5 linked regions of the Tribolium castaneum genome follow. The protein of the gene in region 1 purifies or fractionates together with the protein of each later gene. This does not show direct contact. Links are inferred from orthologs where the notes say so. Each region holds a gene or a part of one and is shown in the gene's direction. Other genes may lie near its edges.

Region 1 (3,259 bases):
CGACTCGCTGATTGACTTCTTCAGCTTCACTGCGTGGATTTTCTACGGGGGCGCGATGTTGGCTCTGATTGTGATGCGATACACTAAGCCCAACTATCCTAGGCCCTACAAGGTACTTTTTATACCCAAGATTTAGTTTTTTGTGATTTTGCAATTTGTTCCAGGTGCCAATTATCATTCCGTATGTGGTATTAGTGATCTCTTTCTACCTGATAGTAGCTCCTATAGTAGACAAGCCTACCATTGAGTACCTGTATGCAGCGCTGTTCATTTTCAGTGGGATGGTTTTTTACGTCCCCTTTGTGCATTACAAAATGCGGATCCCATTCATGGGTGCGTCCACTCCACACTGTTAGTTTTTTTTTTTTAATATTTATTTTCAGACGGCGTGACTGTTTTCCTGCAGATGATATTTGAAGTAGCACCAACATCGACAATGTTGGAGTAGAACGGCAGAAAGCTCAAATTTATATATTTGTAGCTGGTAGAGGGTCATGGTTACAGGTAAAACTCTTGGTTTCATCTATACAACGTTATTTTTGTGCTTACTGTGACTTGAAAATGTGTAGATGGAACTAGATGAAAATTATTATAAATGTAAAATGTAGGTAAATTGCACGGATCATTCCCAACCATCGGGGTATCTCATGGGGTGCAACGTGGATATCCATAACTGTTTCGTTCGTTCAAATAAAATTAGTGTCGAGCAATAAAACTTAGAGTGAACGTATTATACAGTAGATAAATGTGAAATTTAATTACTCGGTGTAATATCGTCGATGTTTTCGCTAATTTTATTTGAATTTGATAGTTGTGCATTTTATATTAACTATACATTTACTGCAAAAAGTCTGACTTTTTTATGAACTTATTTTTATATTAGTAAAGTTCCTGTAACCATGATAAAATTTCAAAACACAATAGATTGACATGTTTCAGGTAAAATATGAATCTGTTATTCCTTACCTAAACAATGTTAATTGCGACTTTGGGTTTTCTACAGTTTTTTATTTCATTTCTTAAAAGCAGTACTAAAAGATTCGAATCTCGAAGAGAGTATTACCACAGTTAGCGACAGGGATATTAATTCAAACATTTCTATTCCCCTCAAAGTACCTGCTGAATAGGGTGGCGAAAAAGAAAATATTTTCTTCAAATAGTCATTAACATATCTACAATACTCTCGAACGAATCTTGGAAACATCGATTTATTAAGCAAAAATTGTTATTTTTATCATTTGATAATAGCTTTTGTATAAAATTTAGAAAAGTAAAATTGTTGCCAAATGTAAAGCGTATATTGTTGTGCAATATAAAGAAATATATTGTAATACAGAAGAAGTTTTATTTATTTTTGCCCAAAACCAAAATTCCCACTTTTTTGGACGGCATTACTGGTTGCATAACATGACAATTGTGTCAATACTTGACACAATCCTAACCTCACAATTGACAATTTGCCAAAAACGTAAACAAACACATGGACCAAGCCACAGCTCGACGCCTGCTCTCCGAGGGCGCCTTCTTCATCCTCCTGGGGGTCCCCGAGGGCACCGAGTTCGGCATCGACCTCAAATCCTGGAACACGGGGGAGAAGTTCCGCGGGGTTAAAATGATCCCCCCAGGCGTGCACTTCATATTTTACAACTCTGTTAGTGCGACAACCGACGATGTGGCCCCCAGAGTTGGGTTTTTCCACAATTTTAAACCGGGCGAAGTCCTGGTGAAAAAATGGTCAAAGGTAAATGAGCAAATCAGTGACGAGCAAGTCAATGAGTCGGAAATCGTGAGTTTGAAGGAGAATTTGAGGGCTCTTGATGGGTTTCTGGGGCCTTATCCGTTCGATATTGCGGAGCGGTGGGCCAGCTTAGTGGGGAGCATCACCGGTAGACTGATTCAATTTTTTGGGGGGTTTTTAGACGTTTTTTTTTAGAAAATTTGTTGGGGAAATTGGTGCCGCAGTGTGGGCAAGTGAGGGCTGCTTTGGAGCTGCAGTCGTGCAGCGATGCCGAGCGGCCCAGGGGGGCTAAAAGAAAAAAGGGGGAGGCGAGTGAGCCGTCTTGTAGCGGGATAAAAAATTTGTCCGGTTGTGGAGAACTTGATTTGTTGCCTGCTTTAAAACCGATCGAAGGGACGGAGTTAAGGTTGACGAAATTCCCTGAAAAGAACTATCCTGAGGGAAGCTCGCCCTCTGAAATTACGCAGCATTCCCTTGATTTAACATTTGTTTTTGAAACACTTTTGTCACAGTATTCTGAGTATGTAATGTTAGATTAAACGTAACATTATGTTAATTTAAATTTTTATTGAAGGTCTACGGAAATCATCGGTGAGCTGGAATTCTGCTACATTTGTTTCCTTGTAGGCCACAGTTTGGAGGCATTTGACCAGTGGAAAAAACTAGTGACTTTGTTTTGTTCCTGTGATGCCGCTATTACAAAATATAGAAAATTATTCGATTTATTTATAACAGTTTTAGAAGTACATATAAAGGAAATACCGGAAGAATTCTTAGCAGATATTGTTTCAAACGATAATTTTGTTTATGTTAATTTGAAAAAATTATTTAGGTCGATTCATGAATCAAACGTTGACGGACAATTTAAAAGTAAAGTCGTTCGATTTAAAAATTCTTTAACTACGACGTTTTTGTGGGATTTTGAACATCTGGATTCCGATGAAGACGACGAAGCCCCAGTTATTGTAGAAACTTAATTTTGTTGTGTTGAAAATAAAACTATTTTACTTCATGTTGAATTTTATTAACAAGAATTCCCAGAATTATGAAACAAAGAATAGTGGAAAAGTTGTATAGTACATACATCATAGTTCAAAAAAAATATATACAAGGTGAAACAAAGTAGAACAAGTTAACTAAATAAAAAATGAAGAAATATTGAAAACAAAAAAACCTATTAAACGAAGTTTTTTTAAAGTCACATCCAAAAGTTGTGACAAGTTCACATTACCCATCGATATAAAAACTCACGAATTAAAGACGTCTTAATAAAACAGAAAACTGACAAGACAGTAAAACCTCTCACCAAGGGACATCGATGAGGAATTTTTAATTGTCCGTTGTGGAGAGGTGTCCGTTATTCAGAGGTGGACATTAAAGGAAGTTTAATAGTATTTGAAATAAATCGTTTTTGACCATTTAGCGAAAAAATCAAATACGAGCACCTACCTACCTAATAAATATTTATAATATTATCAACTTTGCTAAAACAAATCAACACGAATAAAAAAAAGTGCATTT
Region 2 (3,948 bases), on another chromosome or scaffold:
GGAAACGGAAACGCATTCGCCTAAAACTAAACCCAAAGTTGAGTCTGACGACGAAAAAATGGATGTTGATTTGCCAGAAAACATCGCAAATTACCCAAAAGAGCCAGTTACCAACCCATCATCTAGTCAGCTTGAGGACGATTTTGTTTTTGTATGTAGCATTTTATTTTTATTATTTTATTTTGTATTTGAAATTTTCAGTTGGGCGAGCGCAAGGCAATGTTATTTTCTCTCGAATCGGCGCGTTCTTTACCAGCTGAAGACCTACCAGACGATTTTTTTGAGCTCACAATTGATGATGCTAAGAAAATTCTGGGCGATATTAGAAGAAAGCGAAACGAAATGGACAACGCTAATCTCATGACCTCTGCAATGCGCAATTTAGAAGAATCAAAGAAGCAATTACGCCAACTGCGTAAATATAAACAGTCAGTAATACGCGTCCAGTTCCCAGACAGGTCCATCCTTCAAGGGAGCTTCAAGCCCAGCGAAACTGTTAAAGATATTAAAGATTTCGTCACTTCTTTCCTAGAAGATCCAAACAGTGATTTTCATCTTTGTAAGTATTGTTCTACTTCAGTCAAGTGACCTTTGACTCTAGTCAGAAACTACTTTGATCACATGTTTAAATATTGTTACAGATACAACGCCGCCTAAAAATGTTCTCTCGGACGAATCAAAACTAGTGGAAATTGGTTGCGTGCCGGGGGCTTTGTTGCATTTAGGAGCAAATGGTGATGGGAGTTCTGTGTGCTTGAAGGCGGAATTGAGGGATAAATTTACAACAAACTCAAAAGCAAGTTTAGCGGCGTCACAGTTGCGGCAAAAGGGAACAAGACCCGAATCTCCGAGTGAAGAAATGGGCCAGGATGAGTCTATGGATACACTGACTGAAGCAAATGCTGCTGGGCCAAGTACACAACCAACCAGTTACGAGAGGAAAGTAATAAAATCAACGGAAAAAGTCCCTAAGTGGTTTAGACCATCAAAGTGATTTATTAGTGTTAAGTTTATATGAGTTGGTACTTATATTAAATAAAAGCACTTCAGCATCTAATTTTGTTTTATTTTGGTGAGAGGAGCGGGTGTTTTTGAATAGTTTGGGGAGTTTTGTTTTATTGGCACCAATGGTGTGTCAAATGTCATTCAAATTTTTTAATTGATTACTTTTAAAACAACAATGGCAAGTAAAGTTAACGTTCTTGAGTCCGTTCGTGAAGATGATTTTGTTGAATATCATCTTTTTCCACCTATTGATTCCCAGGACGACAAAGAACAAGAACTTGCGTTAACCAGAGTTTTAAATCAGTGTGAAAAAATCGTAAAAAGGTACACCGATGAGTATTTATGGCATAAAGACGAATTTAAATTAACTGTGAGAACGTGGATTAGTAATTCACTGATTCATGATAGTGAAAAAACAGGTAATGGTCGTATTTTATGACTTCACATTAAAAAAGTGCTTTTACATTTTTTGAGGTTATAAACCAGCAAATGCTTTGTTTAAAGTAAATCTGTATAAATCACAATGTAACAATTTTTTGAATCACCTAATTCGAGATCAATTGTTTTGCAGAGTATTTACCACCACATTTATATGGCGTAACTCATTTTGGAGACAATATAGAGGACGAGTGGTTTATTGTGTTCCTTTTACGTCTCCTAACTAAGGAAATTGATGGTTTAATAGCTCGTGTGCACGACGCTGATGGCGAATTTATTTTAATTGAAGCAGCTGATTACTTACCTTTATGGGCAGACCCTAACAACTGCGAAAATAGGGTAAGGTTTCTCATTATCTGTGCTTGTCTTTTTTCTAATTCAAATTAGAATAAAGTGATAATTGATTTTTTTGTTGGAAATTTTAATTAAAAAACGTTGCTATGGTAAGAGTGTTTTAAAATAGTGTTTATAATCTAGCATTCAGATGTGAAAAAGAAGGCTTAAAATGTTACCATCAAAAAAATAATTTAACGAATGCAACACAAGTCAATGAACGAAGCTGTACCAACATGTGAAAAAATTGCAACAAAATTGCAGCTCTATAAGATAGTACTTCTACATTAAAATTCACTTAAGTAATAATTTATTAGTTAAGCATTTATAATTATTTATACATTTCTGTAATAACTGAAGCAAAACTGACTTGGATCTGGTTTTTCTCCAGGTATACATTTACCAAGGCAACATTCATATCATCCCTCTAGACACCTCGGATCACCTCCCAGAAATGGCCCAAATGGCGGTCAATGAGGCCGTCTCAACAATCCAAAACAATCCGATCGACACTTTAGCCTCATCAGACATCCAAAACTGTATAATCAACAAATTAAAAGACTACCCTGACAAAATCCAGTCCAGTCTTCACCATGCCACTGCCTACCTACCAGTAGGTGTCGCTGCAATTTTGCGCCACAAACCCGGGCTTATAGCCCCCGCCGTCCAAGTCTTTTGTAATCGAGACCCAGTTGACGCCAAAACCTGCAAAGCCATGAAATATTTTCCGCCCGAAAACCGCGTAAATGCCAGAGTGACATTTACTAAATGTTTATACGCAATGCTAACTCACAGTAAATACGTTCCGGATCGCAGAACCGGCTGGAACTTGCCTAAAAGCGACAGCCCACAGTTTAAAGCGCAGAATTTAGGCGTTAAAATCGCCTGTGGGTTTGAGATTTTAGCCGCGCAAGCCAAACCAAGCCAGGACATTGAACAGGATAAAGGGTGGGTTAATTATTTTGAGAAACTGAAAGAGAAAAATTATTTTCGGGGGTTGTTGGAGCATTCAAGAGAATACAACGATTTATTAAACAAAGCGAAAGAGTACTACATCAATCACCGAGACTCTATGCACTATTCTCCAGCCATTGGGCAAGAAATTGTCCAGTTGATCAAAAATTTGGATTTTAAGATCGATGAATTGAAGGAGGAAAGTAATTTGCCTGACGATGACGATTCGTGGCTTAACGTCAGCCCGGAAGAGTTGGATAAAATGTTAGAAGAAAAATACGGGCAAAAGAAATTCGTTACAGTGAACAACAACTCAGACGCCGCCTCTTTCACTGAAAAAATCTCCTCGTTCTTAAACCACGTGTCAGATATTGACGGAGTTGAGCACCCAGACCTGGACAATTCCCCAACTCGGCCCCCTAGAGGCGTGAAAAAACGCACCAAAGTTTCGTTCGCAAGTGGCACAAAAACCGAGACAACAGCTAATAATAGAGTTAGTTTTGATCCGAATGCGTTTTCTTGCGCCGTTCAGAACATCCTGAATTTTGTCATTCCGGAAGATGACAGTTGGGATTTGGATTCTGGGTCTGATATGAGCGATTACGCCGACGATGTTGCCGGGAATGAGGAGATGTACGAAGGGGTTAAAAATAAAATGCAGGAGTATATGGAACAGATGGATAAGGAACTGGCGGCGACCACAATCGGGGAAAGTTTCGAGAAGAAGAACGGGGACGGGTTTGAGGATATTGAGAGTTTTAAACCTGTTGATATTGACGTGAATGCGTTGAAGAATATTCTGGAGAGTTATAAGTCGCAGTTGGGGGAGGCGGGACCGTCGAGTAATATGTTAGGGCCGATGGGGGTGCACTTGGATGTCAGTAATAACGATGATTGAGATGATTATTTAAGCGCGATTTATTGATTTACTGTTAATTTTTGTAGCGCGTGCCAATAAGGAGGTTTACTGCCATTGTCTTTTCACTATTGATGTATACAGTGTACGAGATTCACACGTTAAGCTGTACAGAACACGAACGATTTGATTACATGCTTAATATTACCTCAGAAATATGAAAAATATTTTGTGTTAACGTTACGTTGTTTTTGCAACTATGACACATTTCTTTTTTTCGTTCTGTACAGCCGCATATGTATTTTAGATTTAGCTGCTTGTTATGAAAATTAAAAGAATATATTTAATACTTTAGGATATTA
Region 3 (4,050 bases), on another chromosome or scaffold:
GACGTCGATGGCACTTCCTCTAAATTCATTGTCGATGGTACTGTTTCTTCCGGTATATCAACACTATTCAAATGATCAAATTGTAAATCAATTTAAAACTAGGATTCACTTTTTACCTTAATGATTCAGCGGAACTAGAACAAGAAGGGAGTCCTTGTTTTTTCATCTTTTTTTTTTCTGGAGATTCCACTTGAAAATAGGCTCTTTTTGCGATATTGTGCAAAAATAATTCAGGACCATTTTCCTTTCTTCCATCCCGAAAATGGCAGCTGCAAACGTAGGCTCCTGGTCCGGGTTCTACATCTCTTCTACATTTAACAATGAAACAAGCAATTAAAAATTAATATCAAAACATCTATTAAAAATTACCTCAACAATTTTTTCCATAGTGCTCGTTCTTTTCCCGACTTAGGAAAACTAAAAAAATGGCATTTATCGCGAGTACTATAGTGTTTGCAATCTGGAGCCCAACACATTCCCATAGTTGTGATGTAAAAACCTACTACACATGAACTATCAAAGTATCGCAACAAAATATTATTCACAAATCATACCTAATGATGTACCACAAAAATGAGATAATGTCTTGGAAAAACAGAATTTTAAAAATTCAAGAACACGAAGATATGGAGAACGATCGGAAAAAACACGATAACAAAAGACACTCACGAAAGAAGCACAGAACTCACAACCCGTACTACTTTCAACCATGTATGTGCCTGAACCCTCTACCCTCGTATACCTGCTATTCATCCCTCGTGATGGGGGAGGGGGACAGAAAACAACCCGTTTATTGGGGTTGCGCCGGTTGCACCCCATGAATTCGTCATTCAGAAGAAATCCAATGTCATTAGTGTGGCAAACCATTTTTCCCTCAGTTTTAAAAGGCCACATAATAATTTACATCAATATGATGTCCAAATTAAGAAAAACTGAATTTTGAAGTTTGAAAAAAGTTAGGTTAGAAAAGGATTTATGTGTTCAACTTACAGAAATATTAGCTCAGTTGCTAAAATCTTTAAGAAACGACATTGCATTTTTCATAGCTATCATTTCTCTGTAAAAGTAATGTTCCTACACTTCTAGCATTAAAGAAATACGAAAAACTTTTAAATGCCCATAAGAAAAGCATTGAAAATGGCGATTGTTTAGCTTTAAGGTGCTGACCTACCTCAAATGTCTACGTCACACTGATAGCGCGTATAGTGTTTTTTTATGGAGCTAGGGTGGCGTACAGTTCATAAACATAAACACTATTCCACGTTTCGAGTTCCACGTTTTCGAGTTTAATTGGTCGTGGGGTTTGTTTCCTTTTAGTTAACTGGGGCGAAGCCCCAGCCACGCGCAACATATTTCCATAAAAACCACTATTCCAATATGCCCAGCTGAAATGAGAAGTCCGTTATGGTCTCCGTTCGTACTGTTCCGACCTCGCTCGCAACATTTCGACTGAGCGAACATTTGTAGACCGGCAGGGGCTAGCCGCTAGTGGTGCAACTGCCCACTTTTCGAGGTTAATTTAACCTGTGAACATGTGAACAAGAATTGTTAACAATGGGGGAGGTTTACGATTTGATTAAGAAGTTTCATCTTCATTCGAAGACCCACAAAGTCCAGGACGGTGGCACAGAAGAGTGGGTTAGTTTGGTTTTGCGCGAAAAATACTGGGATGACATTCTCGTGTTGTATGCGAACAATGCGCTGATTAAGGACTTTTTCAACTCGAAAAGTGACCAAGAGCGGGAGGAGTACCTCATTTTTGGGATTGCGTGCTTCACTTACTTCGTCCAATGCAACTTTACCGGGCCCCCCATCCCCAAAGTGATTGACGAATTCCTGGCCAAAGACAAGTTCAAGTCGTTTGATTTCGCCAGTCGGTTGGCCATGAACGGCGAAGACATCAACGTTAATACGAAAAATCCGGCCCTTTTGGCCGTTTCTGAGTTCATATTTGATTGTTGTGTCGTCAACACTTTGGTCAACTTGTGGTGGTGTTGCCGGGCTTTGATGATACACCAGGACGTTCTAGACGACTTGAGCCCCTCTTTGTTATCAAACGCCGACCGTCTCCACAAACTGCTCCAAGAACAACCGCTAAAAGGTGCGTTTTCTTGCACCAGTTCTTTGTAATTGACTGAATTTTAGGTGTTTTGAAAGCTGAGCTTAATACAGAACTGGCCCAAATGTACCTCAAATTCCGCCACATCACCAAAGCTCAAGACCACATCACGTCGGCGTGTGATGTGTTAGGACTGGCGTACGATTTTGTCGGTAAATTAGGCAAAAGAACGAAATTTCAAACCGATGAATTGGCACAACTTACTGTAAAAGTCACACTAGCCGATCAAGACGAAATAAAACGGCCTGAAATTGACGATATTGTTGTGCCGCAAAATTTCAGTCTCAATGACGACGTTAGATTGGACCAAGTCACATTTTCGGAAGAGTCCGATTCGGCAAAATTGCCCAATGCTGAGCAAAAACTGATTCTAACAATCATACGCAAGAAAATGATTTCTAGTCCCTCTGATGAGCTGCAAAGTGAGGAGATTCTACCCTTCATTGAGATGATTCTGAGCCAGAAGAACACGTACACAGTGCGTGTGATGGCATTGTTGTTGCGCTGTCAGTTAGAGTCCAATAATAAGAGGACTATTGAAAGGTGTTTGAAGCAGTGTGAGGACATTATCAGTAATTTCACAAAGGAGGAGCCGCCGGCAAGTAATAGAGTGGGTGATGTTTTCGGGACGGCAATGCTGCCCATTTGGAAAGTCCAAGCAGAGTATGCCGATATTTTGCTTAATTTTGGTTTGGTGAAAAACAGTTTGGATGTTTATTTGAGAATTCAGTTGTGGGAGGAAGTTATTATTTGTTACAATATTTTGAAAATGAGGGAAAAGGCGGCTGAAGTTATTAGGCAGCAGCTTGAGGTGAAGCCGACGGTGAAGTTAATGTGCCTTCTAGGTTTGTTTTTAATTTTTTTGTTAATATATTGCTCTATTTAAATGATTACGTCGTGATTTTTGTTTTTAATGTTCAATTTCATTATTTTTACCTTTTTCGAATGTATTTTTCTTGAGATTTTGTTTAATCGGACCTAAAAATGACATTGTTTTTGTCTTTCTCGAGCCATTTAGCACGTATTTAAACAAAAAAAAAACACATTTCGTAAAACTAACGCCAAATGTCATCAGTTCAAAAGTTCCTGATGCTTCTTGCGATTTTAAATTAGATTCCAAAAATGAATTAAAATCTGATTTACTCAATTGCTTTCATTTAATTTTTGTATTTCTTTAAGGTGACGCGACTGACGATGTAACATGTTACGAAACAGCCTGGGAGATGTCCAAGAAGCGCAGCCACCGGGCGCAAAGACACTGGGGGCGCTTTTTATTCGCACGCAGAAAATACGAAGAATGCATTCCACATTTTGAGAAATCTCTCAGCATAAACCCTCTCCAAGCCAACATTTGGCTAGGTTTAGGTTTCGCAGCCTTGCAAATAGAAAACTGGCAAACGGCAGCAACAGCCTACCGCCGCTACACCACCCTAGAACCTGACGGTTTTGAGGCTTGGAACAACCTAGCCCAAGCCTACATCAAACTGGGAAACAACCGCAGCGCACACCAAGCCATCCTGGAAGCCTTGAAGTGCAACTTCGACAATTGGAAAGTCTGGGAAAATTTGCTTCTAATCAGCTGTGATATCTCGAATTATTCGGATGTAATCCGCGCCTACCATCGCATAATCGATTTGAAAGAAAAGTATTTAAATGTGGAAGCTTTGAATATTCTTGTGTATAGTGTTTGTAACGACGCCACTGATTCTGAAGGGAATTCCGCGAGGAAGTTTTTGCAAAAAATCCGGGAGTTGTTGGGGAGAGTTGCAGGGTTGTATCCCAGCAATGGGCCAGTCTGGGAGTTGTATGCCAGTTTAGCGCCGGTTTTGTTACTTAGGGCCCAGCGACTGCAAAGGGCCTACAGGGGATACACCCAAGGGTCGTGGGACAAAGACCCGAAAACTTGTTTGTATGTTTTAAATGTGTGCAGA
Region 4 (3,998 bases), on another chromosome or scaffold:
AGACTACAAGGTATTCTGAATTTTCCTGTTGCAAATTTTCAGGAAAATATTCATAGGCGATTTTGAAGTGATTTTTCAAAAATTGGTCTCTCTTATAACGAAAAACTGAATCATTCCAAAAGAAAAAAGATAGACCCATAATAGTTTATATAAAGTTACATTATTTCTTTGCGTAGATTCCAATTATGCGAAAATATATAGGGTGTTCCATTTAAAAAAATATAACTTTGGTATACAACACCCTGTGTATAAAAAAAATATTTTTAGTTTGTGGATTTTAAGTCGATCTCTTGGATAAATAAAAACAGCATAGCAATAGTTCAATTCCCAAAAAAGTTAAAGACCGATTACACACCCCTGGGTCACCTACTGTATATTAAAAATAGAAGCGGTTCAAAAGTTGAGCCTTGTGGAACACCGGACGTAATATTACCTGCTTTTGATTGGGAGTTGCCTATAGTAGCAACTTGTTTTTTTATTTTGTCAAATAAGGAAGAAAAAATAATTTTTAAAGCCATAATAGTATATTATGATACAAGTTTTATAAGCCACATTTTGTCGCACGCACGAATTTAGAGCACGACGAGCGCAACGACAAAATGCCTTATAAACAAGATATCATACAGTATTTTTTCTACTTCGCACTTTTTGTACCAACAAAATTAATTTCAAAATTTAGGAAATTTTGGGGCTGTTGATAAATTGCCAGTTTATTACAATATTCAAAAATTTCGTTACACTCATTTGCGAATTTATTGGAGACTTAATAAATGGAAGATGGTAATTTTTGATGTCTGTCATTAGTTCTATTTGTAACGACAAATTCAGTGACTAGATGAAAATCATTAAAACACACCTTGTACCATTTTCCATTGCGTCTTGGAATTTTTCGTCGTCGGTGTCACTATCACTATCACTGTTTACAAAAACACTGTTTGGCACAGTTCTAGTGCGGTCGTATTCCTTTTGGGCCGCTTCCAAGTCGTAAGAGCCCGATTTTCGCTCGGTAGCGGCTTTTTTCGAGTTGATATTCGGAACGGTGATTCTCCACTGCTGTTTCGTTATTTTATTGCAGATTTTTTTCATTTTCGCTCGCGTCGCACTCAATTGCTGCTACTTACTGACACTCATTTGTGAAAAAAGCAGGATAAACGCTAATTAGGTTGTGTGTACGGTTAGATAAGGAAGGAAAATGTTGACGTCGATGAAACTGTTAAAGGTAAATTATTGGGAAGGTCGCATATTGTGCTTGCTATCATATGACGGTGACATAACACAACACTCGAAAGTTCACATTTTTCACTTTTCGCACTCGCGCTTCATTCAGAACTACCGCAGGGCCAACGCGGAGCAAGACCTCACTATATTAGTCTGTGGTGCTATAATTATCACATGTGTGTGTGGCTTAGACGGATGTATTGATGCCCATCAGACCACGTGAGAACCGCTCTTTTCGACGACATTAAACTGATTTGTTGACGCGAGTTAATTCGTTTCAAATGACTCGGAAACGTATGCAAAAATGAAAGTTTTCCACATTCTTTACACGACTTTGCCATCAGAAATGTTGGCAAATATTTTGATAACGCAAATATTGTAAAATGATTCAGTAAATCAGTTTGGTCGTAATGAGGTCGCTATTTTAATTAACTGAACTAATTGGGACAGATAACTAACGGGGTAATTCAATTAGCTAATTGAAATGTTTGCATTTTTGCGCCGTATCCAAGTTCAAATAGAATGAATTAAAGAAAGTGCAGAAATACAGAATAAAAGACGGAAAAAAATTAATCTTTTCGTTTTTCTCTGCTCTAGTACAGTCAGATCTGGTGATTTCGATGCTAATCTGGACAAAACGCTGGTTTTTTCAAACTGTAAAAGGTGGTCACAGATGGTGATTATTTGATCACTGATTATTTGACAATTTTGTTGCCAGAATAAAACTTTACGGTCATTGAAAAAATATTGTAAGTAATTAACTCATTTGTTAATTATCTTTCACAATACTTCAATCTATGTATTTTTTTTCAGAATGTTTCTACCCTTCCTTTAATTAAAATTGATTAATTAAGGATATTAATTAATCGGTAATTTATGATTTCTTGTGTTACCTTAAAACAATACGGTGGTTAAACGATGTTCTCGAAAAAAAGCAAAATTTCGTTTATTTGAATTTCTAATTTTTACTTACATTCGATTCACTTCAATAAAAACCATTGTGGTGCAAATAGCGTACTCTGGGCATTAACTTTCATATGGGTTGTCATGGTAACAGGTTAGTCATTTGCACCACAATGGTTTTTATGAAAGTAAACCGAAAGTAATTATTTTATTCTTCAACAGTGCCAAAATTTACAGTTTTTTTTCTGTGTAAGAAAGTTTTGACAACTGTTTGACATTTCTCACTACGAAACATGAGATTATTTTTAACAAATTTAAGCAATTTTAAGGATCGGTTTATAGAAACGTCATTAATTTAATTCGCAATTAATTGCGTGATTAACGGATCACGTGACCAAATTGAGCAAATCTGATTGGTCCATTTGCGTTGTTGACTTTTAACAGCGAATTAAATTTTAACGAAGCTTTCTATAAACCGGCCCTAAGCTTTGTTGAGTTTAATTCGAAGATTAAAATGTTGTATTCAACTCGTTTTCATGTAAATCGGTTCATTTAATTTACCTCGTGGATAATAAACCCCTCGTTGTCATTCGACGTTTAAAAATCCGATTTACACTCAAACTCGGTAAATAAATAACTATTTTGGGACTAGCAATACTTTTTTACAGATATTTATAACAATTTTTTGCAGCTATTTAAAAGTAATTAATTAATTTTATTTATTAGAAATTGTAGAAAAATTCTGGAAAAATTCACAGGCATAAAGAAAATGACAAAAAACTGAACAGCATTTAGAATTCTGGGCGATTTATTAGTTCTAGATAATAGTAATAAATATACTTTTAATAGACTCACACTGTATAAATATTAACAAACTAGATTATGCAATATTATAACTATGTACTACACAAATAGTAAATTAAGTTCAAATGACGTAAGAATTTTTTGCGTTTCTCAAAAACATAGTTAGATAAATTTAATTAGATAATAATTGATTAATTTATTAGACCACTCCGGAAAATCAATTAAACGCAATTATTCGCAAAATTTTATTAAAAACAAGTTGGAAATCCACCAAATTATACAAAAAAAAATTTGTTTTCTGTTGAAACCTGATAAAAAAACTAAAAAATATCAAGTTGAATTAAAACTAGAATATGCTACTCTCGATTTAGTCTATTTTTGAACCGAAAATCATATTTTGGAAGACCTTGTCTGAACATATAATATTTAGAAACAACGAAACAATGATGTTAACTAATTTATTGTCACGTTCTTCAACCAAAAACTCAATTATTTAGCAAAATTATTTTAAAAAATAGATAAAATTCGGCCAAAAATTGTATAAGTTTTGCATTTTTCAAGTATTTGAGCACTTTTTTTGAAATAAAAATTAAGTTTTTTTTCGAAATTAATCTAATAAAATACTAAATCGACTTGAAAAAGGTGTTATTTTACCCTTTTCAAACTTCAAGCAATTCAAAAAATGACTATGTTTTTTGTGAGACTGAAAAATCACATAACTAAGTAAAAAATTATAATAATTTTGTTCTTTCCAAGCATATACTTTACCACATTTTACAGCCTGATACGCAATTATTTTGCGAAATTTCATTAAAAACAAACTGAAAAATTTTATTATTTTCGAAAATTTTGCCTGAACTGGGTAAAAAATCGTAAACTTAGGTCGAAATTGAGGTTCTTTTAGCTTGTATCGCTGGACTTTAAAGCAAAGACTTAAGACTGGTTTATCGAAGTGTCATTAATTTAATTCGAAATTAAATATGTGATTAACGGATCACGTGACTAAATTGAACTAATTTGATTGGTCCATTCGTGCTGTTAACTTTTAACAACGAATTAAGTTTAAACAAAGC
Region 5 (2,835 bases), on another chromosome or scaffold:
ACTTATGCCCCAAGGCCTCCTGAGCCGTACATCTTTCCATGTGATCATAACAAAGCAACGATTCCAAAAAATCAAAGGCATTCTGATTCACTAAATGCTCATTCTCCGTATTGACAAATCTCTGCCAGGGTTTTTTCGAGTGAATCCCCAACATCTCCTGCATGCTACCTTCCAGCACAATGTTGTATTTATTCAAATAAGAGTAAAACTTGCTCGTGCCCAACACTTTAACAATGCAATACAGTTGGTTGCGGTTATCAAATCCTTGGAAGAAAGGTTCTTTACGGAAGATCATTGCGGCAAAAACGCACCCAAGCGACCACAAGTCGAGGGAATAGTCGTAATAACCGTACTCTACCAACAATTCCGGGCCTTTGTAATGCCGAGACGCCACCCGGACGTTGTAACGTTCTCCGGGACGGTAAAACTCAGCCAAACCGAAATCAATCAACCGGATTTTGCGATTTTTCCGGTCAATTATGATATTGTGCGGCTTGACGTCACGATGCATTATGCCCTTGCTGTGACAGAAATCAAGGGCTTTCAAAATTTCGTAAATGTAAAACCGGATATCGGAATCACTCAATTTCAAATAAACCTCCTTAAAGTCCTCATTATTTGACGGGGATTCGAAAATCAGGGCGTGCAAAGCTGTGGAAGGCACCGACACCACGGCATATAAACTCACAATGTTGGGGCCGTTCCTCAAGTGCTCCAAAATTTTAATTTCACGTTTGATTTTCGGTTTTTTGATCGGTTTTAGCAACTTGACCACGACCGAATCGTTAGTACCATCGTGCACCCCCTCGAACACTAGACTGTACTTCCCTTGACCGATTTTCCGAATCAAACTGTAATTGTTGATATCGTCAGTCGGGGGGTTGTAGTTGTCGTACTCAAAGTAGGAAGAGGGCTTGTTTGAGAACACGTCCGAGTATACCCGTGATGTTGTAACAACAACGCTACGACTAATTTGTGTTATTTTGGTAATTTTAGGCCTAAAACACTTACGGTGTGTCGTCCAAATCCATTTTTGGCACAAATTTTTTGAAATCTTTTTTTGACATTTGAAATTTAAACGGGGTGCTTACTTGTCACTAAACGACAAAACGAAAATCCCTAACCCGATTAAGCGAAAAACACAATTGTGGCTTTAATTTAATGGTGCCACACGAATTATGAATTATTTTGTGTTTTGTGAGCCAGTCTCGAGTGTCTTGTGGTGGTTTTGGTCGTTTTTGGTGTAGTTATTGGGGCGTCATAACCTCAAATTCGTCATGTCAACAAGTGGGATTAAAACCGAATCTAACGATTCAAATGACTCGAAACCCGTTTTTAAACGTAAAAACCGTAAACAGCTGCGCCAAAGGCGCCCCTCGGATGGTAGTGACCGAGAGGAGGACCTGGAGGAGGTCAGGTAACAAGACCCCCTTCACTGTGGTGCCTCCCCTAACGTTGCTTTTAGCACCAAACTAGAAGAAATGAAGGAGTTACAAAACTTGCGTAAGCGCCCCCATGGAGTCAACGCCTTGGGGCTAGCCCTAGGTACCAAAATCACCATCGAGGACGAGTGCATTTCAAAGGACCCTTTCAAGGTGAAGTCCGGCGGCATGGTCAACATGCAAGCCCTTAAAAGCGGCAAAGTCAAGCAAGTCGATGATGCGTACGACACTGGCATAGGGACCCAGTTTTCGGTCGAGACGAATAAACGTGACGAAGACGAGGAAATGATGAAGTTTATTGAAGAAGAGTTGTCGAAGAAGAAGCGCAAGGTCGAGCCCCAGGAGCAGGCCGAGGCTGAGAACAAGTCGGCGTACACCAGCCCCGAGGAGGCGGCTTTGAGGGCAGTCCCGGACCATTTGAGGGAGTCGTCGACGAAGAGGTCGGAGGAGATGTTGTCCAATCAGATGTTGAATGGGATTCCGGAAGTGGACCTGGGGATTGAGGCCAAGATTAAGAATATTGAAGCTACGGAAGAGGCGAAGTTGAGGCTGCTGTGGGAGAAGCAGAATAAGAAGGACGGGCCTTCGCCTTTTGTGCCGACGAATATGGCGGTGAATTTTGTGCAGCACAATCGATGTGAGTTGGCAGAACTGCTCATATTTGGAGTTTTTTACTTTTTTTACAGTTAATATAGACGCAGAGGTTGCTAAAAAGAAGGCCAAGTTGGATGATAAAGTGGAGGAGGCTACGGAAAAGCCGAAGAAAAAGGATGAGAGGGCCACCGATGATTATCACTACGAAAAGTTCAAAAAACAATTTAGGAGATATTAGCCTTTTGTAGTGTTTTTTATTTTTGAATAAATTATTTATTTTGATTTGTTTTTATTTCTTTTAAAAATCCGAGCAAATAATCACTGTGTTGTTTTGAAATTCATAACTCAAAAACTAAAAGTCGTAGAGCAATGCGGTTTGTTCCATTGGATTCAGCGGCTTTTTTTCTCTATTATACTAATTTTTCACGCAATTTAAAATTTTCAATTTTTTTTGCTCAAATTTCCTGAGTACCTTCAAGAGGTGAAACAAAAATTTTTTTTTAACTAACTCTAGGAACTTTTTATGGACTCCTACATGTCTTAACAACCCACAAAAGTTGTTAAAAGTCCACAAAAAGTCCAAATGTTCGATTTTTTGATGTTTGATTTTTTCAATTTTCGTCGCAGTTTTTGTCGATTTTGGGTACCCGGAACATTTGTCGAGCAATAGCTCCGGAACTATTAGAGATAACCCCATGAAGTGTATTATCGTTGGAAAGCTCTTTAAATTATCTATTTTTTTCAAAAAAGATTATTGTTCTCCGACTAATAGTTTTCGAGCAAATTGCTGCTAAATGCA

The links.
Region 2: the proteins of protein AAR2 homolog (region 1) and ecd purify together in Homo sapiens (affinity purification with mass spectrometry; 3 studies listed by BioGRID and IntAct, counting the BioPlex papers as one, with this or other methods). This does not show direct contact. The link is inferred for Tribolium castaneum from reciprocal best matches to the Homo sapiens genes AAR2 and ECD.
Region 3: the proteins of protein AAR2 homolog (region 1) and tetratricopeptide repeat protein 27 purify together in Homo sapiens (affinity purification with mass spectrometry; 3 studies listed by BioGRID and IntAct, with this or other methods). This does not show direct contact. The link is inferred for Tribolium castaneum from reciprocal best matches to the Homo sapiens genes AAR2 and TTC27.
Region 4: the proteins of protein AAR2 homolog (region 1) and p23 purify together in Homo sapiens (affinity purification with mass spectrometry; 3 studies listed by BioGRID and IntAct, with this or other methods). This does not show direct contact. The link is inferred for Tribolium castaneum from reciprocal best matches to the Homo sapiens genes AAR2 and PTGES3.
Region 5: the proteins of protein AAR2 homolog (region 1) and splicing factor C9orf78 purify together in Homo sapiens (affinity purification with mass spectrometry; 3 studies listed by BioGRID and IntAct, with this or other methods). This does not show direct contact. The link is inferred for Tribolium castaneum from reciprocal best matches to the Homo sapiens genes AAR2 and C9orf78.

Annotation. Positions count from the first base shown.
Region 1 is NC_087397.1:5,819,691-5,822,949, forward strand, and holds protein AAR2 homolog, read left to right. Parts: upstream 1-1,408; 5' UTR 1,409-1,480; coding exon 1,481-1,886; intron 1,887-1,933; coding exon 1,934-2,258; intron 2,259-2,312; coding exon 2,313-2,715; 3' UTR 2,716-2,750; downstream 2,751-3,259. Other genes in the region: sbm (b(0,+)-type amino acid transporter 1), read left to right, coding at 1-112, 165-333, 384-448. UniProt on the Homo sapiens protein: Component of the U5 snRNP complex that is required for spliceosome assembly and for pre-mRNA splicing.
Region 2 is NC_087394.1:35,465,453-35,469,400, reverse strand, and holds the start of ecd (protein ecdysoneless), read left to right. Parts: upstream 1-1,138; 5' UTR 1,139-1,180; coding exon 1,181-1,424; intron 1,425-1,576; coding exon 1,577-1,782; intron 1,783-2,167; coding exon 2,168-3,628; 3' UTR 3,629-3,948. Other genes in the region: tether containing UBX domain for GLUT4, read left to right, coding at 1-151, 202-559, 642-994. UniProt on the Homo sapiens protein: Regulator of p53/TP53 stability and function. Inhibits MDM2-mediated degradation of p53/TP53 possibly by cooperating in part with TXNIP. May be involved transcriptional regulation. In vitro has intrinsic transactivation activity enhanced by EP300.
Region 3 is NC_087394.1:32,815,673-32,819,722, reverse strand, and holds the start of tetratricopeptide repeat protein 27, read left to right. Parts: upstream 1-1,239; 5' UTR 1,240-1,554; coding exon 1,555-2,101; intron 2,102-2,145; coding exon 2,146-2,964; intron 2,965-3,298; coding exon 3,299-4,050. Other genes in the region: uncharacterized protein LOC135265904, read right to left, coding at 1-63, 117-308, 370-502, 555-894.
Region 4 is NC_087398.1:11,209,306-11,213,303, reverse strand, and holds the start of p23 (prostaglandin E synthase 3), read left to right. Parts: upstream 1-1,192; coding exon 1,193-1,437; intron 1,438-3,998. Other genes in the region: Nost (nostrin), read right to left, coding at 857-1,086. UniProt on the Homo sapiens protein: Cytosolic prostaglandin synthase that catalyzes the oxidoreduction of prostaglandin endoperoxide H2 (PGH2) to prostaglandin E2 (PGE2).
Region 5 is NC_087394.1:36,668,412-36,671,246, forward strand, and holds splicing factor C9orf78, read left to right. Parts: upstream 1-1,277; coding exon 1,278-1,417; intron 1,418-1,465; coding exon 1,466-2,079; intron 2,080-2,128; coding exon 2,129-2,274; 3' UTR 2,275-2,318; downstream 2,319-2,835. Other genes in the region: casein kinase II subunit alpha, read right to left, coding at 1-968, 1,012-1,067. UniProt on the Homo sapiens protein: Plays a role in pre-mRNA splicing by promoting usage of the upstream 3'-splice site at alternative NAGNAG splice sites; these are sites featuring alternative acceptor motifs separated by only a few nucleotides. May also modulate exon inclusion events.